Linked DNA regions of Macaca fascicularis. The protein of the gene in region 7 purifies or fractionates together with the protein of the main gene of each other region. This does not show direct contact. Links are inferred from orthologs where the notes say so. Each region holds a gene or a part of one and is shown on either strand. Other genes may lie near its edges. The genes, in order: ZNF512B, MTA3, CDK2AP1, BCL11B, KPNA1, SMARCC2 and CHD3.

Region 1 (4,187 bases), on a different chromosome or scaffold from region 7:
CCACTGCCAGCCCGAGCCCCACACTCAGAGCCCTCCCTGGGCCTGCAGGGTGCACACACCACATGAGCCCCTCAACATCGGACTGCAGTGGGAATTCAAGCCACCCAGCAGGGGCCATGCACAAGACCTGCTCTAGGAGCCCAGAATCTCCCGGCACACCAGATATAAAGCCAGACCACATGAAGCCTGCCAGGCCAGTGCCCACACCTTGAGGCACAGAGTTGGTACCAGATGTGCAGAGGACAAATCAGGGCAGGGCAGTGGCTGGACAGGGAGACCCCAGCATGAGCCCCACCATGGCCCTGAGGGAGCTCACAGGAATGTCTCGGAGGGCCTGGTTCTCGGCTTTTGGCCGCCCCTTTTTCTTCCCTTCTGTCTTGTCGCTGGCTGGACTTCCTGGGTCAAAGCAGAGAGGGGCTTGGCCAGGCACTGTCTGTCCACCACGGACCACCGGCATCCCTGCAGCACATAACACAGCAAGGCTCGGAAGCTGTAGCACTGTCTACCACTGGGGGCTGCACAGGCCCACAGTGAGCGCCACTGTCCCAACACCAGGGCACCGGGAGCAGGGGCTGTGGCCAGCTGAGGACAAGAACCCAGGGCCCTGGGCGATGTCCAAGGCAACCCTTCCCCTGGTAAGGTCCTTGGGAACTCAAGGGGCCTAGCTGGGTACCTGGAGACAGGATGCCCGGGGCCGTGGCCCACTCCTACCCCTTGCTGCCCAGAACCATGCCCAGAATTGACTTTGGCCCTGACTCCTCTTACCCATCTTCGGTGGATCATGCAGCATTGGAAGTCGGACCTCCTTTCGACTGCCATCCTTCCCGGGACCACTCTTGCTGGACCCCGGGGGCCGACGGCCTCCAACGCAGAAAGGATCCGTCATCTCTGCGGAGCAAGTAGACAATCTGTGAGGCCTGACGGGCCCCACTCAGAACACGTAGTGAGGCTGCCCTGGAGCCCCGCCCTTGGCAGGTCCTCGCTGGTCAGGGAAGAGGGGCCTGCCCTCCTGTGGTTTTGTTCACGTGGGAAAAGCAAGTGATGGGGGGTTCTGACTTAGGGGAGGGGCTGCCAGCCAAGGTCTCCCCAGATAACCCAGGAGGCGTCATCAGTTTGGAAGGATCTAGTCCTGTCCTGAGACCCTCACCAGCTTCCAGATCCCCTTCCCAACACACAGCCCCATAGCTGCAGAGATGATGCTGGAGGTGATGCTGGGAGGGGTGTGCCCCCGGGAGAGGTGCCTTGTGCAGGAGGAAGGAGGCTGGCAACATTCCTCCAGGGGACAATTATGTCTCCGATGATGGCTGCTGGCTCACAAGCTGCCCGGGCCCAGCAGTGGGGGCACAGCTTCTCACTGGGGCCCTGGTACCCTCCCATGCAGACCTGATGCAATGCCAACCTACCCAGGCAGGTACCCTTGGAATCTTCTCTCCAGACACAGATGGAAAACAGCCAAGGTGGGCACTGAGGACCCCCAGCCCACTCCAGCCCTGCACCAGGCTTCTGTCTCTGTTCTGGCTGAGCTATCCCCCCGACCCTCTTCACAGACTTGTCTGCGGGCCTGGCAGGCTGACCCGCCCCCAATCTCTCTCTGGAACTCTCAGTCCCCTGCCCACAGACCCATTACCACCACCTCAGCCAAACAAGTAGTGGAAGCACTAGCAGTGAAGGCCCAGGCTGCTGGCCAGAGAGAATGCCCTGCTGCCCAACGCTGGGCCCCCCCGAGGTCCTGTGCTGCTGGGAACCCCATCCTGAGAGCTGGGGAGCAGAGGAGACTCTGGGCTCAGCCCTGTGGAAAAGCCACGGAAAGAGGTGGGACAGGAAGCAGGGTGAGGGCTGGGTGGGCAGGTGGCCCCCTCCTGATACCTTCTAATTAACTTAGATCAGAGGGGATGGGAAGGGGCTGCTGTGTCCAGGAGGGCCAGAGAGCTGAGGTCAGAGGTCAGGACAGTCACTGCCCATTGCCAAGGGGGAGGCCAGTGTCCGGGCACAAAGTTCTCTGGAAGTCCTCACTTTGCAACTTTGAAAGGAGACAGGGTCCGCATGAGTCATCCCAGCACCTGACGACCCCGGTGGCCCCAATTTTTCTGAAGCCTGGGAGAAGAATTCAGAGTAGTGGGACCTGAGGCCAGGGCCGGCCTGGGAGGTAGAGACGCGACTGGCGCCCCGGGCGAGAAGGGGCTTCGGCCCTCCCGAGCCCAGCGGGCACACCGAGCCCTGGCGGGGAGAGGGGGCTCCGCCGCGCTGCGCGCAGGAGACGCCAGCAGCGGGTCCGCCGCGTAGGCCGTTCGGCCCGGGACCCCGGCCCAGGCCTGGCGCGAGGGTGAGCGCGGCCAGGGACGCGCACCTGGGGCCAGCCTCGCCACCCACCTGTCACCTGGGGCCGGGAGCGGGCGCGGGCGCGGGGCGCGGGCCTCGGCCTGGCCGGGCAGGGCCGATCGCGGGCGCGGGGTGGGGGGGCGAAGGCAGTGAACCAAAATGGCGACTTTTTCTGGAGAAGGAGGAGGCAGGAAGACGGCGCCGGCGCGGGGCGCGGGGGCTCGGGCGCGGCGGGGGGCGGGGGGGCTCCGGGCCCGGCCCCCTCCTCGGCCTGCGCGCGGGGTCGAGATCCGGGGCGCGGTGGGCGCCGGGGCTGCGGCCAGATCGGGGCTGGGGCACGGCCGGGCGCTTACCTGCGGCGCCCAGCGGGGCTGCGGCCGGGCCGAGCCGGGCCGGGGTGGGGGGCGCGGGGCGCGGGGCGCGGGGCGGTGGGTCCGGGCGGCGCAGGCTGCGCGCCGCGCTGCGCACATGCGCGCTCCCGCCCCTCCCACCTTTGACAGTTTTACTGCGGGGGGGAGGGGGCGAACTCTCGCGTTATTCCCGCGGCCGCTCCGCGGCGGGGAGGGGGCGGGGAGGGGGCGGGGAGGGGGCCCGGCGCTGGCCTGTGGTCCCCCCCCCGCGGTTCCGCCCCCGTCGGCCGGGCCCGCAGTCCGGAGTAGCCAGTTCTGCCGTCCTGGGGCGCGGGGAGTTTTTTGGACAGTGGGGTAAACTGAGGCCCGATAGGGGCGCTGGGCACTGCCCGGAGTCCGGCGCGCACGGATTGAGGCGACCTGATTCCGCCGCATCCTGGCCCGCGCGGCGAGGGTGGTCTCTGGGCTCGAGTCCCTGACCTCTGGCCCTGGGGGCCGTGCACCGGCAAAGCAGGATTCAGCCTCTTTCCAGCCGGCCCTGAGACCACTTTTGCGACTGGCCCCTGGCGGTGCCTGGTGGCTTGAGGCCATGGAGCTTTACTGGGGTCACTGACCATTGGGTCAACCTTTCCCAGCTCTGGGGGCAGTGGTTCTGAACCAGTGCCAGGGCCTTCCCTGCCCCATATCCTGGGCTTCTGCAGGGGGCACTGGGGTCCGGTGTGGGCTGAGTGGTCTGGAGGCGACGGGGCACTGACACCACAGGACTTGAGAATTGAATGAGGCAGAGAAAGGTGTAGCTCTCCTAAAGAGGACGGAGGAGGCCCCACACGGGACTAGCACAGGACCCGCAAGAATCTCCCCCAGGAGAGTCCTGTCCTGTCTGTCTGTCTGTCTGTCTGTCTGTCTTTCTTTCTCTTTTTCTTTCTTCTTTCTTTTTCTTTCTTTCTTTCCTTCCTTCGTTCTCTTCCTTCTCTTCCTTCCCTTCCCTCTCTTCCTTCCTTTTCTCCTTCCTTCCTTTTTCCTTCCCTCCCTTCTCTTCCCTCCCTCCCTTCTTCTTTCCTTCCCTCCCTCCCTCCCTTCCTTCTTCTTTCCTTCCTTCCTTCTCTTCTGTTCCCTCCCTCCCTTCCTCCCTTCCTTCCTTCTCTTGCTTTCCTTCCCTTCCTCCCTTCCTGCCTTTTCTCCTTCCTTCCTTCCCTTCCTTCTCTTCCCTCCCTCCCTTCCTTTCTTCTTCCTCCCTTCCTTCCCTCCCTTCCCTTTCTCCTTCCTCTCTCTCTTTCTTTCTTTCTTTTTTTTTTTTGAGAGGGAGTCTCGCTCTGTCGCCCAGGCTGGAGTGCAATGGCCGGATCTCAGCTCACTGCAAGCTCCGCCTCCCGGGTTCCCGCCATTCTCCTGCCTCAGCCTCCCGAGTAGCTGGGACTACAGGCGCCCGCCACCTCGCCCGGCTAGTTTTTTGTATTTTTTAGTAGAGACGGGGTTTCACCGTGTTAGCCAGGATGGTCTCGATCTCCTGACCTCGTG
Region 2 (3,578 bases), on a different chromosome or scaffold from region 7:
TAAAGTGAAATATGTACTCAGAGTTGCTTTGACAGAAAGATTTATAATTAAGAAATGTTCAGACTGCAGACATCAACTCTTTTAAAAATCAATTGAATTTGGTATATTATCTAGTCCTTACCCGAATGTTCCAGGAGTCAGAGGCTCAAAGCTTCTTCTTTGATATTACTCTACTATCTTATTTCTTGCTTTCTTTCTTTCCTTCTTTCTTTCTTTCTTTTTTTTTTTTTTTTTTGAGACGGAATCTCACTCTGTTGCCCAGGCTGGAGTGCAGTGGTGCAATCTCGGTCACTGCAAGCTCCACCTCCTGGGTTCACACCATTCTGCTGCCTCAGCCTCCTGAATAGCTGGGACTACAGGCACCCACCACCACACCCAGCTAATTTTTGTATTTTTAGTAGAGACGAGGTTTCACCTTGTTAGGATGGTCTTGATCTCCTGACCTCATGATCCACCTGCCTCAGCCTCCCAATGTGCTGGGATTACAGGCATGAGCCACCGCACCCAGCCATTTCTTGCTTTATTTTTCAGGGGTTAAAGAGTTGTTTTGATATCCCCTGAAAATGTCACATGGTTATTGTAGGCATGACCTAGGTAATGGTGGTAATGTCCTTGAAGAGTGCTGTCTGTATTCCCTGGCAGAACTGACTCCTAGATGCCCCTTCCCACCTTGCATGGGAAAGTTTCTGATCACAAAAAAATAGAATAGGCCAGGCATGGTGGCTCATGCCTGTAATCTCAGCACTTTGAGAGGCAGGCAGATTGCTTGATTCCAAGAGTTTGAGCCTGGGCAACATAGCAAAACCCTGTCTCTACCAAAAATACAAATATTAGGCAGGCATGGTGGTGCATGCCTGTGGTCCCAACTACTCAGGAGGCTGAGGTGGGAGGATCAATCGCTTGAGCCCAGGAGGCAGAGGTTACAGTGAGTTGAGATTGTGCCACCACACTCCAGCCCAAGCGACCAGTTGAGACCCTGTCTCAAAAAAAAAAAAAAAACAAAAGAAAAAAGAATATAACATTATTAGCCTTTCCATGAATAATTGTGTGCTCCTACTGTGGGTAAATTGGTCTCTATATCTGCCAGATAGGCCCACACTGTGCTGTTCTTACTAGCTGAACCACATCCCTACACAATATATTTATGAGTATTTATATGTTGAAAACACTGTACTAAGTGATTTGGGAAACACCAAGATGGGTAAGACCTTGCCCTCAAAATTCTTAGTGTAGTGGGGAAAGCAAGCAGGTAAGAAGAATAAAACAAAGGATTAGATCCTATAAAAGAATTACAGGTAATATGTGTTGGGCACTTGGAGGAAGGACTGTTTTTTTCTTTTTTTCTTTTTTCTTTTTTTTTTTTTATTTGAGATAGAGTCTCACTCTGTCACCCAGGCTGAAGTACAATGTCTCCATCTCGGCTCACTGCAACGTCCACCTCTCAGGCTCAGGTGATCCTCCCACTTCAGCCTCCTGAATGACTGGGACTACAGGTGTGCACCACCACACCTCGCTAATTTTTAAAAATTTTTGTAGAGATGGGGTTTCACCATGTTGCTCAGGCTGGTCTCGAACCTCTGGACTCATGCAGTCTGCCTACCTTGGCCTCCCAAAGTACTGGGATTACCAGAGTGAGCCACTGCACCTGGCCAACCAGGGAATTTTTTCTAATGAGTGTTAGGGCAGCCTACCTGAAGAAAGTAATAGTTAATTTCAGACTTAAAAGATACTTAGAATTCAAATAGAAAAATAGGAAAAGGCCGGGCGCGGTGGCTCAAGCCTGTAATCCTAGCACTTTGGGAGGCCGAGACGGGCAGATCAGGAGGTCAGGAGATCGAGACCATCTATCTCGATGGTCTCGAGACGAGAAGAGATGGAAACCCCGTCTCTACTAAAAAATACAAAAAACTAGCTGGGCGATGTGGCGGGCGCCTGTAGTCCCAGCTACTCGGGAGGCTGAGGCAGGAGAATGGCGTGAACCCGGGAGGCGGAGCTTGCAGTGAGCTGAGATTGCGCCACTGCACTCCAGCCTGGGCGACAGAGCGAGACTCCGTCTCAAAAAAAAAAAAAGAAAAGAAAAATAGGAAAAGCATATTCTCTTCCCTCATAAGGCCAAGAGAACCAGATGAACAAAGGTTTCAGTGAGTCCAAGGACTTGAAAGCAGCTTGTCTGGTGTGGATGGAGCATAGGCTGTGGAGGTTAAATGAAACGCAAGGCTGGCAAACTTGTCATGTCATGTTGGAGAAAAAAAAAATCACTTTTTTGGGTGGCAGTATTCAAGCCATTTCTAAATTTTGGCAAATGTGGGGACTTTGACCAGAGATGTAGTAAGTCTAACAATTCCAACGGCTTTTCCTAAATTCCAGTAAATAAGGGCGATATCTCAGCCCTTACCTTCAGTGAAAGGGTGAGAAGACAGGATGGCTTGTGTGTAGTTGGCCAGCTGCATGATGACTCTGAGAATCGGTGAGCTGGTTAAGCTTTAGAAAAAGGCTGCCCAGCTTTAGTAGTAAACTGAGGTTCTTAAATCCAGTTCCTACAGTGTTACGGTTTCTGTCCATCCACAATAAGAGCAAGTAGTTCTGGGCTGTATGGCTAACAACAATATACTTTTGTTAAATGTGCATATGCCAGTTTTGTGATATATCCTTAGATAAAGCATTTCATCTACCTCTTGACTATTGGACTTTGGTTTCAAGTTTCATCTATATCAAAATGTTCTAGGCTGCGAGTAATTGATCCTGGTCCCATACTCTGTCTGGTTACAGAGCCAGAGGAGGAATCCTGTTTTTCAGAAAGCTCACATACCTGACATGGTGACTGGTTTGACAGAGCACAGAGGTTTTTTACCCTCCTCGCCCCAAGGCTACCTCTCCAGATAGCCTTTTGATGTCTAATATCTTGAGGAGTCAGATGCCTTATTCCCTTAGTAAATCACATGTTGTATGTGACCTTCTGAAGTGGCTTTTTGTTTTGTTTTTGCTTGTATTCACAACCCGAGGCTCAGAGCTCCAGCCAGCAGGGGAAAAACCAGCTTACTTGATAAGCAAAGCCATGGCAACACCACTTGAAGCTGACTCATTATGCAAGTCCTTGGCTGGCTCAGGAGGAACTGACTCTCAGCTCATTAAGTAATAAGATGTGTGCCTATTAGCCAATGTAAGTGCACATAGATTTTTAGTATCATGTTCTGAATTGAGAAACCTTTTTCCCCCCACAGAGATCCATCCTGCAAAGAAACCTAATGTAATTCGATCTACACCAAGCCTGCAAACCCCAACTACCAAGCGGATGCTAACAACTCCAAATCACACATCTCTGAGCATTCTGGGGAAAAGAAACTATAGTCATCACAATGGTCTGGATGGTATGTAAGCCCAGGAATTCTGGAGGCTGTTCTGACAGAGTGCCTCCACACTCAGGCATGTGTCTGCCACATCCAAGAATATATTATAAACATGTTCTTGTGCTCCATGATTGAAGTATGTGGTTGAGGAATAAGGGGGAATATGACCATATGCCACATTTTGCCAAGGGATTGTTCTCCATCCCATCAGGAGGTACCTATTTGCTCCCA
Region 3 (4,140 bases), on a different chromosome or scaffold from region 7:
GGGCGTTTGCAAGATCCCAGCAGCCTGGCAGGAGGGGCGCTAGCCACTTCCCACGCACCCTCGAATCAACTCGGTGTGCCCCCGTCCTCTTCCCCAACTGCTTTGCCCACTGCTCCTCACCTCTCCTTTTCTGTCCTCCCCACTGGACTTGGCGCCAGCCCCAGCTGTGCCACTCCTGGCTGTGTGACCTCAGACAGGCCCCCCGCCCTCCAGTCCTCAGTTTCTCCATTTGTTAGAGGCAGTGCTTCCCAAGAGAAGGTCTACAGGCTCCAGACCCTACTATTTGATGATACTGGGGTTAGGTTTTGCGGGGCTGAGAGGAAGGAGGAATGAGAAATTGTCCCATTTTGGCTGGGGGGACGAGGAGCAATAGCTCGGTGACTCCAATGCTCTGTCCAGGCCAGTCCCTTGTTCAGGGTTGGGTGGGGGGTGTCTAGTCCTGGAGAGAGATGGCGGAAATGCCCCGAGTTCCACTCATGGTCACTCCTTCCTGCAGACACAGGGACCGGGACACAGGGACCACGTCAGCGCAGGCCGTCTCGGCGCATCTCAGACAATGAGCGCAGTGTGCAGGAGCGAGGGGTTGGCAGAGGCCAGGAAGCTCCTGGGGCCAGGCGCGGCTCCCCGCCCCCACGCCAGACAAAGAGCGCCGGGGCCTGGGGAGCTGGCGGCCTTCCCGCCACTTGGGGCGCCTGGGGGGCTCTGGGGCGGGGGAGGCGGGGGCTTTGTCTAACTCCGCCACTGCCACCACCGGCCAGGCCGCGGCTTGGCAACCCGTGAGCAGGAGGCAGGGCTGCAGGGCGTGAGGGATGATGACAAGGAAGCCGGAGGAGCAGCGGCAGCAGCGGAGAGTCCATCTTGGATGCAAATGGCAGGAGGGGAGCTGGGGTTCTGCAAAAGGGTCCATGGGGGAGAGGGAGGGGCACCAAAAAGCCCAGATCTGGGGATCTCGGCACTCCTGAAATTCTCCACAGGAGAAAGAGAAGAAAAGCTGAATACAGGTGCAGCCAGCTCAGAACAGGACTTCAGGGGTCCCCGTGAGTGCCGCTATCCCTGTGACCCCAAACCCTGAAGGTCCCAGTTTAAGGCCCCGGCCCCAATGACACCAGGTCAAGCCTGAGCTGTCAGCCTTGCCCAGGCTGGCAACACCAGCCCCTGCCCTCCCCACAGGCCAGAGGAAGAACGCTGCTGGCAGTCCTACCTGGCAACAAAGCCCGTCTTTGTAAGGTCTGCGGACCCCAGAGGAGGTGAGAATGTTTGAGAAGAAAACAGTGGCTGTTTGCTCTTTGGGACTCCGAGCCCACAAGTGAGCAATTCAACTCTCCCTCAGCACCCTGACGATTAACCCTTTCCTGCCCCTACACCTCAGTGTCCAAGGTTTTTTTAAATATCGTTTTTATGGGTCCTACTTCGGATGTGGGAGGTTTATGAAGTCAACGTTTGCAAACAAGGCCCAAAACTCGAGCAGGAGAGCCAGCGTGGCACCGGTGACCAACGGGGCCACTCCTTTCCCTCCGAGTCCTTACCCCCCACGCCCCGCAACACAACCGCCTTTTGGGAAGTCTGTTTCCGACCAAGTGTCAGAGAAGAGGGGCCCCAGTGAGGTCACAAAGCCCGGCACCTACCAATCCCTCAATGTTGCGCCCACTCCCCATGGCTCCCTCGGTCCCCTGGGCTCAGCCCGAAGCTGCCTGACAACTTCTGGAGGAGTTTCCTGGGAGCGCCCGGCTGCCGCCGCAGCCCCAGGAAGGTCGAGGGGAGCCCCTCCCGGCTTCTGCATCGAGGGCCTTCCCGGATCAGCCCTGGGGGCTCCCAGATGGGGCGTCCGCGTGACCCCCTGCCCCCACGCCCGCGCGCGGGCCCTAGCAGCCCCAGGACTGCGCCAACTTCGTTCACTCCGCGCACACCTTACGGGGATCCCCGCGTGACCGCATGGGGCAGTCCCTGCTCCCACGCGCCCGGCCGAGGCCCCCCGGCCTCCGAGTCCGCTGCCCACCGGCGACCCCATCCCGGTCCCAGTCCCGGCGGCCCCACGACCTCAGGGCCCGCGGCAGCCCCGCAGCCCTCCGCCCGCGCCGGCCCGCGCGGGGCCTGGCCCTGCCCGCAGCGTCTCCCGCCCGGGCCGCTCCACGACCCCGCTCCCCAGGGCGGCGGGGCCCCGCGCCCCGCGCCCCGCTCCCCGCTCCCGGCGCGGCCCGGGCCGCTCCCGACTCCCGCCGGCAGGGGCCCTCGCCGAGCCGCCCAGAAGCGGGAGGAAAAAGGAGACGAGAACAAGCCTCCCCCGCCCTCGCCCTCGCCCGCCGCGCTCCCTGCGATCCGCAGCCGCCGGCGCGGGGGTCACCCCAGGCCGCCCGCCCCGCACCCCCAGCCAAGGCCCTCGGCGTGCGGGGCGCACCAGCGAACTTTGGCGGCGCGGGCTCGGAAATCATGGCGGCGGCAGCGCTGCCCCGGGCCGGGACCCTGAGCCCCCCGCCCCCGGCCTCCGCGGGCGCCCACGGCATCCCCCGGCCGGGGCTGGGCGCGCGGACCCCCAACTTGGCGGCGCTCGGGGCGCGTCGCACGCGGCTCACTCACCGGCGTTGAGGGCGGCGGCGGGCATGTGCGCGGCCAAGTTCGGTTTGTAAGACATCCCCCCGGGCGGCGGGCGCGCCGGGCGCGGCGGGGCCAGGCCGCGAGGGCGGCGGCGGCGGCGGCGAGGCCGGGCGGCAGCGTGGCAGCCCCGCGCCCGTCCGAGCGCCCGCCGAGCGCCCGCGCACTTTTTGTTGTCGGCGGCTCGGGCCGCGCCGGCAAATATGGCCGTCCGCGCCCTGCCGCCGCCGCAGTCTCACCCAGGCCCCGGGCGCGGCGCAGGGGCGGCCGCAAACTTTCCGCGGAGCCGGCGGGGCGGCCGGGGCCGGGAGGGGGCGGCCCGGCGTCAGGGGGCGGCTCCGCCTGCGGCCGCGCCCCGCGCCTCCGGGTGCGCTCGGCGCCCGCAACTTGCCAAAGTTTGGGGGGCTGGGGTCCCGGCGGCGCCTGAGGCCCGCGCGCGTCCGGGCGGCCGCCCCGCGCCGGGCGCTCCAGGGGTGCACTGGGGGCCGCCCCCGCGGCAGCTGCAGGAGGCCAGGGCGGCCGGGATCCGAGGAGCACTTTCTTCCCCTTGACGGTGGGGGCAGGGATGGAAAATTACCTGGAGAAAATGGTGGCGAGTGGTGTATTTAAGCACGTAGATCATTCCAGACGCCCGGGTCTGGCCAAGCCCCAGGATTCGAATAACTGATGCTTGACATTGATTTCAAATAAATTTCATGTCCCTGTCTTTATGAAGTGGTTTTTAACCCTTTGGGGATCCAAGACTCCTGTGAGACTGACAAAAGCTAGAGGCCTTCTCCACCCCTCATCCCCCTTCCCGGAAAACTCACCCCTGAATCGCACAATTTCGTGCGTAGACTCACTCCAGTATTTAAGGGAAGCACCTACTATGCGCCACTCACTGTTCCAAGCGCTGAGGATACAAGAACTGAACTTGGCAAAGTTTCTACCCCCTGGAGTTTTACGGGGCAATTTAAATCTTCCTTCGACCCCACCCCCAGCCCATCTTCGGATCTGATTGAAATGTAATCATCGAGTGTATTTTGGATTTGGATTAGATGAATAACCTAAAGGTTGTGGGTTTGTTCTCTTTTTTTTCTTTTTCTTTTTTTTTTTTTTTTTTTTTTTAATTTTGGAGTTCTGCCGAAGTAGTAAAGCTCGTTAAAATACATAAGATGCCCACCCTTTTCTGTTGTTTTTAATCGCCATGGTTTGCAGATTTAATTAGACACAGCCGTGCAAGCATCATCTCCGGATCTGGTAACAAAAGCACCCACCTAGGGATGCCCACCCAGGCCTGCCTTCTCCTTTAGGACCAAAGGTGCAGGCGACGACACCCCCTCCCCAGCTTAACCCCCACCCTTGAGATCAGCTGTAGACCAGCACTAGCGAAGGATGCTCAGTGAAACCTTATTCCATGAATAAATTAATGCCACCCATGTGGCTGGTCCCAGGCGCCTAGTCCTCTAGAGCAGCACTGTCCAATGGAAATAGCATGCCAGCCACATAAGTAATTTTCAATTTTTCAGTAGTCACATTTGAGAAAGTAAAAAAACACCGGTGAAATTGATT
Region 4 (4,213 bases), on a different chromosome or scaffold from region 7:
GCTGCAAAACATTTTGTTTTAAATGCAGCCGGCGAGTCTTCTTTGATGTTACAATGGCGAAAAATAAAAGAGAAGTCCTCTTCCCTCCCTCCAAAGAGGCATCCCTCTCCCAAGGCGAATCCCACTTTAATTTCTATTCCCCCCAAAAAAAAATCATAATAAATCCACAAATTCTTACTAATGTATCTGCTGCAACAAAGGAGAGATGGCAACAGCAATTGCTCCGAGCAGATGGCTCCTATGCTGGATTTTCAGGGGAGGGGAGAACCCCTTTATATATTTATTTATTTATTTAAATTTTTTAAAATATAACATAAATATTCGGCTCTCGGCCGCCCCGCAGCCAGTCCTCTGCGGCGGCTGGGCGCGCAGCCCTCTCTAGCTCCGCGCGGGCAGCCCGGCCCCAGCCCGGCGAGGTGCGCGGCGGATTGCAGACATACAACCTGCCCGCGGTCTCGATAGCACCCAGAGGATGTTTTATTTTTAATGCAATAAAAAAAAAAAAAAAAAAAAAAAAGGAACGGCGACCCAGGCACCGCGAGAGAAAGAACGGCGGGGAAATGTTCGCGCGCAGCGAAGAAGCGGCCCCGCGGGCTGCGGCGGGCGGGCAGCGCGGCGATGCCACCTTCCCGGTGCAAGTGTGCGGGGACCCGGAGCGGGCTCCCCTGCAAACACCGTACCTGGCCCGCTCGCGCTCGCTTTTCCCCTCTGCTAAATAAACCCAACAGGGACGGTGGAAGCTGCTGCTTGTCTAGCCCCGCTGCCTGACTTTGCCCGCCCAGCCACATGCTTGAAATCTACACGATTTCAGCCGGTGGATTTCCACTGCGACCTGCCTTGTTTATTTAGAGAGGAAAGATGAAAGATACTGAGATAGAAAGATGGATACGAGATTGATGGGTCTCCTTTTATTTCTTTTTTTTTTTTTCTTTTACTATTTTACGAGCGCATCACTCTCTTCCCACTCCTAACTGACAACCTTTTTTTTTTTTTTTTTTTTTCTCGTGGCGGGGATTTTTCACCAACCCCAATCCCCCCACCTTTTTTGAAGTGGGGGAAAGAAGACAAGATCATCCCAGGAGACAGACGGAGGTGGGGAAATGGGGGGTGGGGAGGGGGGCTTGAGCCCTGCAAACAGCCGCGCAGCTGGATTATTTTGCAAATAGCAGGAGGAGGGGAGAGAAAGGCGGCTGCGGAATCCTAGGACCGGCGTGGCCGGCACCCTGCTGGGCCGGGCGCAGGGACCGGGAACCCGGAGCCGGCGGCCGCCCCTGGCCCTACGGCTCCCCCAGCCCGAGCGCACCCCGCTCTCCTCCGCCCGCGCCGTCAGCACGGACCCACGCGCTCGCCAACTTTTCCCCACTTCCCGGCTCCCCCCTCCCCCTCCGCTCCCCCAGCTCCCTCCCCCTCCTCTCCAAACCCCGCCACCAGCGCCGCCGCCGCCACACACGCCGCTCGGAGGGGCGAGCGTCCAGCCGGGCTCGGCGCGCACACACACACTCCTCTAGCCTGCACGCCCCCTCGCAGGCCCCCGAGCCCGAGGCGCGTCCGGCTGCTCGGCGCCCCAACTCCCCCGGCTGCAAAGAAACTTTCCTATGGCCCCCGCCCCCCGCCATGCTGCAGGCCGACGCCGTTGACTCTGCCAGCCAGCGGGCGGCCCCGGCGCCTGGCCCGGCTCGGCTGTTCCGGGCTCCGTGTCCCCAGCCCCAGGCGCCCGGAGCCCCATCTCCGGCCCCTCGCGCGCACTCCGCAGACACTTACGGGTGATGAGCTCCCTCTGGGACAAGTGCTGCGGGTTGCCCTGTTTGCGGCGGGACATTGCCCCGGCATCTATTCTGGCATCGCCCGGAGAGCTGCACTGATGGGGGGAGCCGGGGGAGGGGGTCCGAGTCGCTGCCGCTGCCGCCGCGCCGCTGCCGCCGCCGCCGCCGCCGCCGCCGCGCCTCCTCCTCTGCCCGGGTTGGTGTTTTTTTTCCCTTCCTCTCTTGCCCTCTCTTCCTCCTCTTCTTCTTCTTTATTTTGCTCTTTCTTCTATGCTGTTTTTTGTTTTGTTTGCAAAAAGAAAAAAAAGGGAAGAAAAGCAAGAAAAACCTTTCGATCTAAAATAAGAAAAAGAGGCAAAAAAAAAAAAAAAACTGCTGTTGCTTTCCGCGGACTGGCTGGTTTCTTTAAAAATATATTCTTTCGAAGGAAAAAAAATCTCTTACACTTCTTCAAACTGCTTGGCCTCTTGCACTTGCAAATGTCTTCTTGAACTTAAACTGGATTTTGCACCGGCTCCTGACACTTTCTTTCAGGGTCTGGTAGGTGGAAAGCGCACTTCTACCAGGAGGGGAAAAGAAAAAAAATGCAAACAAATAAAAAAAAAAGAAGAAGAAAAAGCAAAGGAAAAAAAAAGCAAAGAAAACTTGGGGACTTGTCTCGTACCCCCTCACCCCGCCCCCTCAAAAAACCCAAAGCAATGTAAAACTGCCCCGGTTCGGTTGTTTCTGGGTTTTTCTGCGGGCTGCCTGTTTTTGTTTTTTGTTTTTTTTTTCTCGGAGACTGACCCTTCCGAGGCTCTGGGGGGACACCAAGAGAGGCTCCTTCCCAGTTCACCTGGCAGGCTGGCGCCGGCCGGAGGGGCTGCCGAGTCCCCGCGAGCGCTCCCCAGCGCTCCCCTGGCGCCGCGGGCCCGGGGGGAGCGGGGCGGAGGGGCGGCTCGCCCAGTGCGCCTGGGTCGGTGCGGGCGCAGACTGGGAGCTATAGATTGCAACGTGAAGATGGCGGAGTCCGGGTTCTCTGGGAGCTCTCGGTCTCTCTATGGCTGGGGCTGCCTCTGTACAATGGGATAAAATTCAAGTTCAAGTGCGGACGTGACGTTTAATCTGCACTAGAGACAAAAAGACCCAGAGAGTCGGAGCACTGGGGGCGACTAGCGGTGGCTTTTTAACATTGTACCCTGTAAGAGAACAAGAAAGCACACACAGAGACACACTCGCGCGCGCGCACACACTCACATACACACACACAGTCGCCGGTTGCGCACACCCGCAGCCCAAGCCGGACACACGTGCAAACCGCGTTTTTGTGCGCTCCTCATCTCCCCCCAGCCCCGGCTGCGCAAAAGCAGGAGGGGGTTGGGGGGGGGGACACTGGGCAGCGTATTTTAAAATAAAAGAAAAATCGTCCTTATATCGCCTCCCTCCTGGGAGCAGGACCCCCTGAGAAGGGGGCCGGGGTACTGTGTGAGTGAACTAAATTGAATCAATACAAGTCTCCACCCGCCCAAAAGCTCTTTCGGACTTGGACTTTGGGGGTGGGGGCGTGGACTGTGGAAAAGGATTGGGGTCGACATGGGAGTTGGGGGACAGTAAGAATTGCTTCGTTTCCGTGGAAAAGTCGCTTGGAAGTTTTTACTTTTGTTTTATGGTCGCGGGCGGGGGCGGGGTGGTGGATGTTGGAGTTCAACTTCCAAAAAGTGTCTCCATATAAATCCTGGTATTACAGACTCTGGGAGGGTGAGGAAGACAAAATAAACGACACTAAAAGAACAGAATCAAGAACACGTGAGGGGCTGAGAAGTGTTTGAGACCTTGTTTGAGTCCCATTTGGAAAAGGATTTTCACTCAAATCTCTGTCCCCTCCCCTCACCTTACCCCCATTAACTCCTAGGGGTCAAACACGGCCCCACCCCCTAAACCGGGTCTATGGCAAGCGAGAGGGTAAGGGGCCCGGGCGCTCCACGTGGGAGAGGGACTTGGACTTGCCGGCCCAGGAGTAGGTGTGGCCAGATCTCCGCAGATACTCGGGTGGGTGACTCCAGGAGGCGCCCCTGACAATCACAGCAACCTGAAAGTCACACCCCGCCCCCCGCGCTCCTCGGCCCAGGGTAGGACTTGAAAATGCCTGTCAGACTGGGAAGGACGCAGCTGCCTTGTCAGCCGTTTGATCTCCAGCCGGCGAGGACAAGAGGAGTTGTGGGGCCTGTCTGTGGCCCGGGGACAAGGCCGGACCACGGCCCCCGTGGACACCCCCTATTCCCCAGGCTGCGGCCAACTTTGTGAATTTGATGACCTGGCCTCCAGGGCTGGGCGCGCCACGCGGCTGGCCTCCTCTCCATTCTCAGGGTTTCTCCGGAGGCGGCCAGGGCGGGTCGGGGCCTGGCTCCCGCTGGGCTTCGCGGGCGAGTCCAGCTGCACCCACCCCACTCCGCCCCCAGGCCTGGCTCCGG
Region 5 (3,578 bases), on a different chromosome or scaffold from region 7:
CTGGGACTACAGGCACCTGCCACCACGACTGGCTAATTTTTTGTATTTTTAGTAGAGACAAGGTTTCATCATGTTGACCAGTATGGTCTCGAACTCCTGACCTCAAGTGATCCACGGGCCTCAGCCTCCCAGAGTGCTGGGATTACAGGCAGGAGCCACTACACCCAGCCGAAAACAATATATGTTTTAAAGGGTGACTGAGAAAAAAACCTTACTTTTCAATAAAAATACTGAAAGAAAAGTTAGGTCCTATGAGGTTACCTGGATCTGTGCCCTATTTCCAGCTGTAATATTAGATATCGTCCAACATGCTTCCTTTTTGATAGATTCCTTTGGGCTACTCAGCAAATGCAATAAACTCTGCAGAGCTGAGCAATTCAGAATTACCTAAAAGAAAAAGTTTGAAAATTTTACTTATTGTATTGTTCTAAATATAAATGTTTAACTTAAAGAACAGATTTTATGAAAGACATAACATCTCCCCTTGAAATTTTATAAATAACTTTATACAGGTAAAAAAAAAAGTATTCACTGTTAATAAGAATTAGTTTCTAAGATTATCAATCCAGTTTCATTGTACACATTCACAACGGCTAAATTGTACTTAGTAACTGCAATAGCATTACTCATTCACCTTCCCATCCCAACAGCGTAAGTCTTCTGAATGGATAAATAAATATATCAAGTGGCCAGAAAAGTCAGGAGTCTCAGATTTGTAGGTCCTCTGATAACACACTACTTGGTAGTCAATGAACGAATACGTACTTAATGAGGTATATCAGGTGCTTCATAGGATACAAAGATAAAAAAGATATGACCTCAGCTATCAGTTTATAAAGGTGAAGGAGGTAACACAAATACACATGGAGAAGGAGACTTACTCTACTAGAAACAAAAATAAAAAAAGTGTGATTAAGATAGTATATGGCAGGTTTAAGAATTAATCACTAAACAAAGAGAACAGAGATCTATTCTAAAAACAAATGCAGCTATGTATAAAGTTTATAATAAAAATTAACCCTTTCTCCCAATGACTGGTGGCTTTGACAGAACTGGAATAAAAAGCTAAATAGATTAAAAACAATTTTTTCAAAATCAGTTCTTAACACTGATATGGTTTGGATCTGTGTCCCCACCCAAATCACATGTCAAATTGTAATCCCCAAGGTTGGAGTGGGGCCTAGTGGGAGGTGACTAGATCATGGGGTGGAGCCTCCAAGAATGGTTAGCCATGGTTCTGTTCTAGTATGGAGCACCTTTCCCTACTCCTTGCTCCTGCTCAGGTCATGTAAGACATGCCTGCTTTCTCTTCACCTTCCGCCATGACTTTAGGTTTCCTGAGACCTCCCCAGAAGCAGAAGCTACTATACACATTATGTATGGCCTGCAGAAACATGAGCCAATTAAACCTCTTTTCTTTATAAACTACTCAATCTTAGGTATTTCTTTTTCTTTTTTTTGAGACAGTTTCACTCTTGTTGGCCAGGCTGGAGTGCAATGGCATCATCTCTGCTCACCACAACCTCCGCCTCCTAGGTTCAAGTAATTGTCCTGCCTCAGCCTCCTAAGTAGCTGGAATTACAGGCACGCACCACCATGCCCAGCTAATTTTGTATTTTCAGTAGAGACGGGGTTTCTCCATGTTGGTAAGGCTGGTCTTGAACTCTTGACCTCATGTGATCCACCTACCTCGGCCTCCCAAAGTGCTGGGATTACAGGCGGGAGCCACTGCACTCGGCCAGGTATTTATAGCAGTGAAATAACAGACTAATAAAAACCCTAAGTTGCCAAAATAAACTTGCAGCTACTTAAGAGTAAATATTTTTAAAAGTAATCATAAAGCAGAATATTAGAAAATAGCTGATTTGGGGATGGTAAAAGACTGAGCATAAAAATAAATTATAGGAGAAAACAAAAATTTCATGAAACAAATGTTTTCTTGTCAAAAATCATAAAAGATTTTAAAAATGTACACCATCCAATGTGAAAAATATTTGCAACAAATGAGAGGGTTGCTATCTTCCTTGTGTAAACTGAAAAGAGAAACTAAAATTTTAATAGAAAATTATCTCATAAGTAATGAAAGAAATGCAAATTAAAATCAAGTCTTTTATGCCTATTAAATAGGCAACAGGATTTCATTAGCAAAAAGGAGGACTGACACTGCACATAAGAAATGAAAAAATGCAGAGACAAGCTATTACAAAGTATCATAAGAACAGACTACTGCGGCTATTTTCATTTTAAGAAACAGTATGGTTCTATCACTAAGGCTGGAGTGTGGTGGCATGATCATAGCTCATTGCAACCTCAAACTCCTGGGCGCAAGCAATCCTCCTACCTCAGTCTCCTGAGTAGAGTAGGTAGGACTCCAGTTACATGCCATCATGCTCAGCTAATTAAAAAAAAATGTTTTTAGAGATGGGGTCTTGCTATATTGCACAGGCTGGTTTGGAACTCCTGGGCTCAGGCAATTCTCTCACCTCAGCCTCTCAAAATGCTAGGAATACAAGCATGAGCCAGCATACCTGGCCATGATGAGGCTAATTAAGAAAGAGTTCTATGCCCCAAAAATAATAGGCTAGAAAGAAGAATGAGACTAAAATCTTACGGAGAAATTCCTTTGAATCTTTTCAAGGTTCTTTATCTTACAGGCACTAAAGCAGCTTATTGTTTCTAAAAGAAGATAATGTAAATAACATTATTTCAGGAGAGATTCAGTTGTTATTAGGGGGAATAAACTGAGATGAGTAACTGCTTAGGAGAGTAGGAGGATGGGTGGGTACAGCAACAACCTGTGTGTGTGACAAGGACCAAAAGAACGTAATTTGATGGGGATCTAGTAACAATAAGAATCAAGAAGACCTGGCAACTTGCTATACAAAGTAGAAGGGAAGAAGACACCACATGTGACTGCCAAGTTTCATGTGTAGGTAAATAGAATAGTTATATCATTACTTGAAATAGGAAAAATAAAAACTTGGAACTTGCTTTGTGGGGGAAAGAAGACATACTGCGAGACGTATGTGAGATATGCAAAGCAAGCAGAAATATGTAAGAGACTACTGCAGATATAGGACTGAAACGTGAGATAGATCAGAACTAGACGTATAGATTCAGAACTTCGTTCCATTCAATAAATATTCTTTAGGTCCCTATATATTGTGCCAGAAATTATTAGATTTACAGAGGCACAGAAATAAACACTGACATAATCTACCTCTAGAATCTTAAAATCTAGTAATTAGTTACAATACAATGTGATTAGTATTCTGATGGATGAAGAAAAAAGAGTAAGTACCTAACTTAAAAGTTTAGGGTCAAACAAGCATTCTCAGAGAAAATAATGATAATACCAAGAATTCAAGAACAAGAAAACATTAGGAGTAGAGAATATGGATATGTGTGAGGTGGCAGTCAGAGCAAGGGGTAGCAGTGAAGGCATATGTTCCAGGCAGAGGGAATAAACCATGTGTTAAAGCTCAGAGCTGAGAGTGGCCACAGCCAATTTAAGGAACAAATACGGCAAAAGCATACAGCATATGGAGGTGGGTGAGGGACAGAAAGATACTGATAGG
Region 6 (3,578 bases), on a different chromosome or scaffold from region 7:
CAAAAAATAGCTTATTTCTCTATGTACATTCGTTAATCATTCTTGTCTTTGATAGGTCTTTATCTCCATCTATGTATCTGTAAGCTTTTAATGGTCTGATACTGAATCTGACCAAATCATTCTGTGGAGGAATGGTTAGGTGTTAAATGTTTTTGAAAGCATACTTTCCTCAACTGAATTCATATGCATATGCTCAGGAGCAAACAGAGAGAGGAGAGCTGATTGATGAGGAGGTGGAAGCCAGAACTCTTCTTGGTGGCACCCCTAATCCTACCCCTGAAACACACGTCTGGAATACCTGGGGTGAGTCTATAGAATACAGACTGTAAACCAGCATTGGTGGAGCAATGGTCTCCAAAGTGGGGTTCTAACATAGGATGCAAAAGATGATCCACTGCAACTCAGGAAGAGAATACAGAATTTCTCTTCATGTTTTTGTTTTTTGTTTTGTTTTTTTGAGACGGAGTCTTGCTCTGTCGCCCAGGCTGGAGTGCAATGGTGCGATCTTGGCTCACTGCAAGCTCCACCTCCCGGGTTCAAATGATTCTCCTGCCTCAGCCTCCCAAGTAGCTGGGATTACAGGCGTGTGCTATCACGCCTGGCTAATTTTTGTATTTTTAGTAAAGACAGGGTTTCACCATGTTAGCCAGGATGGTCTCGATCTCCTGACCTCATGATCTGCCTGCCTCGGCCTCCCAAAGTGCTGGGATTACAGGGGTGAGCCACTGTGCCTGGATACTTCATGTTTATCATTTTTTACATTTTTCAGTTTTTTAGATATGTTTGTGTTTTATAACGTTCCCACAGTAGTGACTTAATAGTACATGTACAGGCCGGGTGCAGTGGCTCACGCCTGTAATCCCAACACTTTGGGAGGCCGAAGTGGGCGGATCATGAGGTCAGGAGATCAAGACCATCCTGGCTAACATGGTGAAACCCCGTCTCTACTAAAAATACAAAAAATTAGCCAGGTGAGGTGGTGGGTACGTGTAGTCCCAGCTGCTTAGGAGGCTGAGGCAGGAGAATGGCATGAACCCAGGAAGCGGAGCTTGCAGTGAGCCAAGATCACGCCACTGCACCCCAGACTTCATGACACAGTGAGACTCCGTCTCAAAAAAAAAAAAAAAAAAAGTAGTGTGTAAAATATCATCTAGTATGATTATGATTATGTAAAAACTAAATTGTGGATCCTGTAGACTGGGAGCTGGACCTGAGAAATCAGCTCACTCGGGGTTCGGCAAAGGAGAATCAGGATGGGGAGTAGGGGTGGATTCCAGGAGCTCAGCCTGGCCTGTACCTGTTTTGGGAAGTGTCACCTCTTCTACATTGGGGACTGGTGAGGGCTCGTCCATGTCCTTTGTGAGGTCTTCTTGCTCCTCTTCTCTGTGGCCACGCTTTGACTTAGTATAAGGTGTTGAGGGACTGGGAAGGAAAGAGTGAAAGAGAACTCAGTCATCCTTGGACAAGGAGTCCCTGGAAGTTGAAGTTCAAGGGAAGGGAAGTGACAGAGAATTCCAAGGGTAGAGCTGAGTACAAACAGAAACCAGTAATCACAGACTAATCGGAAGTGGCAAAGGCTTTTCATTTGATAAAGCTCTCTTTAAATTTCTAGTGGCGCCAGGACCAGAACTAACAACTGAGTAGCTAAAGATCTCCTCATCTTCCCTCTCAGGACACCTGCAGTATTTACGGCACACCCAGGTCAGGGCCAGGTGGTTATAGGAAGGGATTTGTCTTTCCTTCCTTCAACATGATGTGGAGAGAATGGTGAACTCGGGGGCAGGCTAGGGGCTGGCACACCCTTTCTTAGCATTTTTCTTCTTCGCTTCTGGGGTTGGCGAAGGAGAGGGGGAGCGCTTCCTCTTCTTATAGTTTCCCCCCTTCTTGTCCCGTCGATCTGAATCTGGGCTGTTCACCTATAGGATGGAGAATCGGGACAAATGTCAGCCTACAATCCCCAATGAAGATTTGTTCTGAGACTTATGCTAAGGGCACCAGGAAAAAAGAACAGGATTTGTCACCTCATCTGTCAATGTCTTGGCTGAAATCTTCTTTCGGCGGGAGACAGGGTTTTTGTCATCATTTACTTCGTAGTCTTCCTCATTCATCCATTCATTGAAGGTGTCGGTGTCCAGGATCCACTTTGCATGAATCTAAAGTACAAAAGCAGATCATGCTGCAGAGAAGCCTGGAAGCCACAGCTCTGTCTGGGGACCCTTAACAGAAAAAGCCCAAGGGCACACGAGCCTCTGTTTCACTTTCCAAGAGTAGACTGCTCCTGGCATTCTTTTTGGGGAAGAGGGGGTACAAGAAAAGCTCACCTTCCTAGGTTTCTCAGGAGTTGGAGCATCTTCCACAGATGCTTCAATTTCACTCGCTGGGATCCATGTGTCATAACTGCCATGGGAAATTGAGCACACAGTAGAATCAATGGGATAGAATTGTGGAAAAGTGAAGTGCAAATCTTTTATCCTTTCCATTTACAGAAAGTATTGGGTTGGCTTTTTTTTTGGTATTCTATTTATTATAAAGAAGTAAAAGCACATTACGAAACATTTCAAAAATAGAGAACAAAAAGAATTACCCTTACATAACTACTCTTGACACATGTATATATGTTTTTTCACAGTAATTTTTGTTTTGTTTTTTCGATACGGAGTCTTGCTCTTGCTCTGTTGCCCGGGTTGGAGTGCAGTGGCGCAATCTCGGCTCACTGCAATCTCCGCCTCCCGGGTTCAAGCGATTCTCCTGCCTCAGCCTCCTGAGTAGCTGGGATTACAGGTGCCTGCCACCATGCCTGGCTAATTTTTATATTTTTAGTAGAGACGGGGTTTCACCATTTTGGCCAGGGTGGTCTCAAACTCCTGACCTCATGATCCACCCACCTTGGCCTCTCAAAGTGCTGGGATTACAGGCGTGAGACACTGCGTCCAGCCGGGGTTTTTGTTTTTGTTGAGACAGGGTCTCACTTTGCTGCCTAGGCTGGTCTCGAACTTCCAGCCTTTAGTGATCCTCCTGCCTTGGCTTCCCAAAGTGCTAAGATTACAGGAGTGAGCTACTGTGCCTGGTCCACAATTTTGTTTTTACATAATCATAATCATACTAGATGATATTTTACACACTACTTTTTTTTTTTTGAGACACGGTCTTGCTGTGTTGGCCAGGTTAAAGTGCAGTGGTGCAATCATGGCACAATGCAGACTCAACCTCCTGGGCTCAAGTAATCCTCCTACCTCAGTCCCCCAAGTAGCTAGGAGTACAGGTGTGTGCCACCATGCCCAGCTAATTTCTGTATTTTTTTTTGTAAAGACAGGATTTGACCATGTTGCCTAGGCTGGTCTCAAACTCCTGGGCTCAAGCAATCTGCCCGCCTCAGCCTCCCCAAGTGCTGGGATTATAGGCATTAGCCACTGCACCCAGCCTATGTGCTATTTTTTGTTTTGCTTTGTTGAGACAGAGTCTCACTCTGTCGCCCAGGCTGGAGTGCAGCAGTGTGATCTTGGCTCACTGCAACCTCTGCTGCCCGGGTTCAAGCGATTATACTACTTCTCAGCCCCCCGAGTAGCTAAAACTACAGG
Region 7 (3,578 bases):
CAGCAGGAAGACTTAGCCCGGAATCTAGGCAAGGGCAAGCGGGTTCGCAAGCAAGTTAACTACAATGATGCTGCTCAGGAAGACCAAGGTGAGGACTGCCCCAGATGCAGGCAGTAAAAGTGGGGGAAGTGATGATGAGAAGGGACTTAAGGCTGGGGCTACTTAGAGAGTAAGAGAGAAGCCTAGAAGTCAGAGCCTTTCCCTGCTAAAAGGGAAAGACGTAAGGTAGAGTCATTAGGAACTACCCGGAGGCCAGGTGGGTTTGCAGGTGATTTAAACTATTTGGTGGTTGCACAGGCATCCTGTGGACACCCAGGGCCACTGCTTAGAGTAGGTTTGGCAGGAGAACCAGAGGGGCCCAGAGACTGAAGGTGGGCGGTGAATGGAGATGCTGTAGGATATGCGGCTCCCAAGTCAGACTTCAGGCAGTGACCTGGCGTTCCCAGAAGGGCCAAGGCCAGAATAAAGGTAGACAAGTCTCGGCAGGGAGGAAGCCAGCCAGAAAGGGCCCCAGCATGGGCATATCCCGAGAGACCTCCCTGACCACTGGGCCCTCTCCACCCCCACAGACAACCAGTCAGAGTACTCGGTGGGTTCAGAGGAGGAGGATGAAGACTTCGATGAACGTCCTGAAGGTGGCATCTGTGTTCCTGACTCTTACCTCTTACCATTTTATTTTTCAGTTTGCTTTAAGCCCACTGTTTTTGTACAAGTAAAAAATCTTTGTGTGTGTGTGGAAAAACTCCATTGCAGATGAGCAGAAAGGAAGCAATGTTGATAGTCTCTCCACTAGTAAACTTCGGTTTGTGTGACCACATAGACTAGATCAAGAAAGGCTGAATCATTTTCCATTTCCACTGGTAATCTGGGCCTTTGTCAGATATCAGCTATTAATTTTAAAATATGACTAGTTCTTTTACAGTCACTGGGTTAGTAGTTCTGAAGTGCTTGGGAGAGAATTGGGAGCACCTCAAACATGATAGGAATGTTCCTGTGTTCTGTGTCTTGTGGGAATGGGGTGCTAAGGAGGACTGAGGCTTAGAGGAGGTGGTGGATCAGCTAATTGATGTCATCCCCACTCTCAGGGCGTAGACAGTCAAAGAGGCAGCTCCGGAATGAGAAAGATAAGCCACTGCCTCCACTGCTGGCCCGAGTCGGGGGCAACATTGAGGTGAGAGCTGGGCCCAGTGTTCGTGAGTTCTCCAAGGAGAGCATGAGGGCAGAAGGTTGGAAATTGGGGCCTGGATCACTGAGGGTAGAAAGGACAAGACCTAAGAACCCTGGACATTTGTCGCCATTGCCTCGTTGCCCCCACCCTCAGGTGCTGGGCTTCAATACCCGTCAGCGGAAGGCTTTCCTCAATGCCGTGATGCGCTGGGGGATGCCACCACAGGATGCCTTCACCACGCAGTGGCTGGTGCGGGACCTGAGGGGCAAGACTGAGAAGGAGTTTAAGTGAGTGTGGGTGATGCAGGGCTGAGTTGGACGCAAGGGTAAGAGCTTTGGGTGTTCCATTCTTCCTTGGGGCCGCCATATGATGTGACCTTACTCAACTGATTGTCACCCTCCCTACCATACAACGCTTCCTGGCTCGATTTCCTGGGGGGTGGTCTCAGCCCACCCCACCTCCCCTCAGCCGAGCCTAGAGTAGAGGGGCCAGGCATTCTCCCCAGGGGAGAGGTGTTGAAGCAAGGAACCTCTCCTGGGCTGTCCTAGCCTCACATTTACTTGGCCACAATCACCTGGCAGGAGGAGCTGGTGGAAAGGATGAAGAGCTGACTGATGGGGCCCAGGAATTAAGTACCAAGGCCAAGGGGATAGGCCAGGGATGGGGCGCAGGGGCACGGTTAGGACTTGGAGGGCTGGTAATGGTGAGAGTGAGAGGCCCAGGGGAGGAGCCCTGGAGCATCTGGGGATTTGGGGACTTGGGGGTCCTCAGTCATCCTTGCATCTTCCTCACTGCCCTATACCCCTTCTGTGGCTTCCCTAACCGTCCTCCCACCCCATGCTTCTTAGGGCCTATGTATCTTTGTTCATGCGCCATCTGTGTGAGCCTGGGGCAGACGGCTCTGAAACCTTTGCCGATGGGGTCCCTCGGGAGGGACTGAGTCGCCAGCAGGTGTTGACCCGCATTGGAGTCATGTCTCTCGTCAAGAAGAAGGTATCAGTCTTCCTCTCACCCAAAAAATCAAGCTGGCTGCCTAGTCTCTGTCCTTCCTCTGCCTCTGTCCCTGAGTTGTAAGCTCGCGCTGGTGTGAGACGGAGGAGACTGGAGTTTCCTGTCTGTATGTCTGTAAGTGCCTGGAGCTGACACCTGTCCTTCCCACCCCAGGTGCAGGAGTTTGAGCACATCAATGGGCGTTGGTCAATGCCGGAACTGATGCCCGACCCCAGCGCTGACTCTAAGCGCTCCTCCAGAGCCTCCTCTCCTACCAAAACGTCTCCCACCACTCCTGAGGCTTCTGCTACCAACAGTCCCTGCACCTCTAAACCTGGTAATCAGAAATCAGGATGGTGGGAGAGACAGAAAGGGAGCCAGGAGTCAGGGCAAGAGAACCTCTGTCTTTATCACTGTGCCTTCCCCTGCAGCTACTCCAGCTCCAAGTGAGAAAGGAGAAGGCATAAGGACTCCTCTTGAGAAGGAGGAAGCTGAAAACCAGGAGGAGAAGCCAGAGAAGAACAGCAGAATTGGGGAGAAGATGGACACAGAGGTGTGTGGCTCCCTGGATTCCCCTGTGGAGTGGGAGGGGAGGGGGCTTGGAGGCCAGATGCCTGGGAGCCCTCCAGCTCATCCTGACCCCATTGTCCTCTTACAGGTTGATGCCCCCAGCCCAGCCCCATCACTCGGGGAGCGGCTGGAGCCAAGGAAGATTCCTCTAGAGGATGAGGTGCCAGGGGTACCTGGAGAGATGGAGCTTGAACCTGGGTACCGTGGGGACAGAGAGAAGTCAGGTGGGTGCATGGCCTTAGGAGTGATGGGGGATTAGAATTTGGGATGTCCCTCTTCTGGGGTCAGAGGATGAGGGTAACATCCTCCCTTCCTATCCCCTACCCCCTCCCACAGCCACAGAGTCGACGCCAGGAGAAAGGGGGGAGGAGAAGCCGATGGATGGACAGGAACACAGGGAGAGGCCGGAGGGGGAAGCAGGGGATTTGGGCAAGAGAGGTAATGGGTGGAAGGACCGGACACCTGGGTCCCTGAGGGCATCAGGGGAGGTGGAGTCTGGGGAACCAAATGCTTGGGTCCTGGGCGGGTAGCTGTTTGAAAGGCCAGGACAGCACAGTACAGATAGTAGTCTTGGGACCTGGGAGGAGGGTGTCCTGAGGTGTGAGCTTTCACCTGTCTGTCCTAGCAGAAGATGTAAAAGGTGACCGGGAGCTTCGACCAGGGCCTCGAGATGAGCCACGGTCCAATGGGCGACGAGAGGAAAAGACAGAGAAGCCCCGGTTCATGTTCAATATCGCAGATGGTGGCTTCACAGGTTGGGGAGACTCTTGCTGCTTTCTGCTCCTCAAGGGGATCTGCTCATCCTCATGGGGTTTCTCGTTTTGCCTGAGGCTTCCTGCTACCTTTAATT

Evidence for each region.
Region 1: the proteins of CHD3 (region 7) and ZNF512B purify together in Homo sapiens (affinity purification with mass spectrometry; 3 studies listed by BioGRID and IntAct, with this or other methods). This does not show direct contact. The link is inferred for Macaca fascicularis from reciprocal best matches to the Homo sapiens genes CHD3 and ZNF512B.
Region 2: the proteins of CHD3 (region 7) and MTA3 purify together in Homo sapiens (affinity purification with mass spectrometry; 4 studies listed by BioGRID and IntAct, with this or other methods). This does not show direct contact. The link is inferred for Macaca fascicularis from reciprocal best matches to the Homo sapiens genes CHD3 and MTA3.
Region 3: the proteins of CHD3 (region 7) and CDK2AP1 purify together in Homo sapiens (affinity purification with mass spectrometry; 6 studies listed by BioGRID and IntAct, with this or other methods). This does not show direct contact. The link is inferred for Macaca fascicularis from reciprocal best matches to the Homo sapiens genes CHD3 and CDK2AP1.
Region 4: the proteins of CHD3 (region 7) and BCL11B purify together in Homo sapiens (affinity purification with mass spectrometry; 3 studies listed by BioGRID and IntAct, with this or other methods). This does not show direct contact. The link is inferred for Macaca fascicularis from reciprocal best matches to the Homo sapiens genes CHD3 and BCL11B.
Region 5: the proteins of CHD3 (region 7) and KPNA1 purify together in Homo sapiens (affinity purification with mass spectrometry; 3 studies listed by BioGRID and IntAct, with this or other methods). This does not show direct contact. The link is inferred for Macaca fascicularis from reciprocal best matches to the Homo sapiens genes CHD3 and KPNA1.
Region 6: the proteins of CHD3 (region 7) and SMARCC2 fractionate together in Homo sapiens (co-fractionation; 3 studies listed by BioGRID, with this or other methods). This does not show direct contact. The link is inferred for Macaca fascicularis from reciprocal best matches to the Homo sapiens genes CHD3 and SMARCC2.

Annotation. Positions count from the first base shown.
Region 1 is NC_088384.1:120,103,246-120,107,432, forward strand, and holds the start of ZNF512B (zinc finger protein 512B), read right to left. Parts: upstream 2,809-4,187; 5' UTR 2,673-2,808; intron 2,517-2,672; exon of another isoform or gene 2,371-2,516; intron 2,095-2,370; 5' UTR 1,404-2,094; intron 889-1,403; 5' UTR 887-888; coding exon 766-886; intron 460-765; coding exon 317-459; intron 1-316. UniProt on the Homo sapiens protein: Involved in transcriptional regulation by repressing gene expression. Associates with the nucleosome remodeling and histone deacetylase (NuRD) complex, which promotes transcriptional repression by histone deacetylation and nucleosome remodeling.
Region 2 is NC_088387.1:79,328,957-79,332,534, reverse strand, and holds part of MTA3 (metastasis-associated protein MTA3), read left to right. Parts: intron 1-3,221; coding exon 3,222-3,368; intron 3,369-3,578. UniProt on the Homo sapiens protein: Acts as a component of the histone deacetylase NuRD complex which participates in the remodeling of chromatin.
Region 3 is NC_088385.1:130,400,085-130,404,224, forward strand, and holds the start of CDK2AP1 (cyclin-dependent kinase 2-associated protein 1), read right to left. Parts: upstream 2,827-4,140; 5' UTR 2,630-2,826; coding exon 2,575-2,629; intron 2,232-2,574; exon of another isoform or gene 1,908-2,231; intron 1,305-1,907; exon of another isoform or gene 1,202-1,304; intron 1-1,201. UniProt on the Homo sapiens protein: Inhibitor of cyclin-dependent kinase CDK2. Also acts as a component of the histone deacetylase NuRD complex which participates in the remodeling of chromatin.
Region 4 is NC_088381.1:167,343,991-167,348,203, forward strand, and holds the start of BCL11B (B-cell lymphoma/leukemia 11B), read right to left. Parts: upstream 2,809-4,213; 5' UTR 2,599-2,808; exon of another isoform or gene 2,323-2,598; 5' UTR 2,208-2,322; exon of another isoform or gene 2,037-2,207; 5' UTR 1,820-2,036; coding exon 1,762-1,819; intron 458-1,761; exon of another isoform or gene 1-457. UniProt on the Homo sapiens protein: Key regulator of both differentiation and survival of T-lymphocytes during thymocyte development in mammals.
Region 5 is NC_088376.1:160,809,297-160,812,874, reverse strand, and holds part of KPNA1 (importin subunit alpha-5), read right to left. Parts: intron 388-3,578; coding exon 262-387; intron 1-261. UniProt on the Homo sapiens protein: Functions in nuclear protein import as an adapter protein for nuclear receptor KPNB1. Binds specifically and directly to substrates containing either a simple or bipartite NLS motif.
Region 6 is NC_088385.1:62,968,035-62,971,612, forward strand, and holds part of SMARCC2 (SWI/SNF complex subunit SMARCC2), read right to left. Parts: intron 2,398-3,578; coding exon 2,322-2,397; intron 2,154-2,321; coding exon 2,022-2,153; intron 1,917-2,021; coding exon 1,801-1,916; intron 1,423-1,800; coding exon 1,298-1,422; intron 1-1,297. UniProt on the Homo sapiens protein: Involved in transcriptional activation and repression of select genes by chromatin remodeling (alteration of DNA-nucleosome topology).
Region 7 is NC_088390.1:7,972,723-7,976,300, forward strand, and holds part of CHD3 (chromodomain-helicase-DNA-binding protein 3), read left to right. Parts: coding exon 1-88; intron 89-569; coding exon 570-635; intron 636-1,085; coding exon 1,086-1,171; intron 1,172-1,321; coding exon 1,322-1,455; intron 1,456-1,587; exon of another isoform or gene 1,588-1,726; intron 1,727-2,016; coding exon 2,017-2,161; intron 2,162-2,332; coding exon 2,333-2,495; intron 2,496-2,589; coding exon 2,590-2,711; intron 2,712-2,816; coding exon 2,817-2,952; intron 2,953-3,064; coding exon 3,065-3,166; intron 3,167-3,353; coding exon of another isoform or gene 3,354-3,356; coding exon 3,357-3,482; intron 3,483-3,578.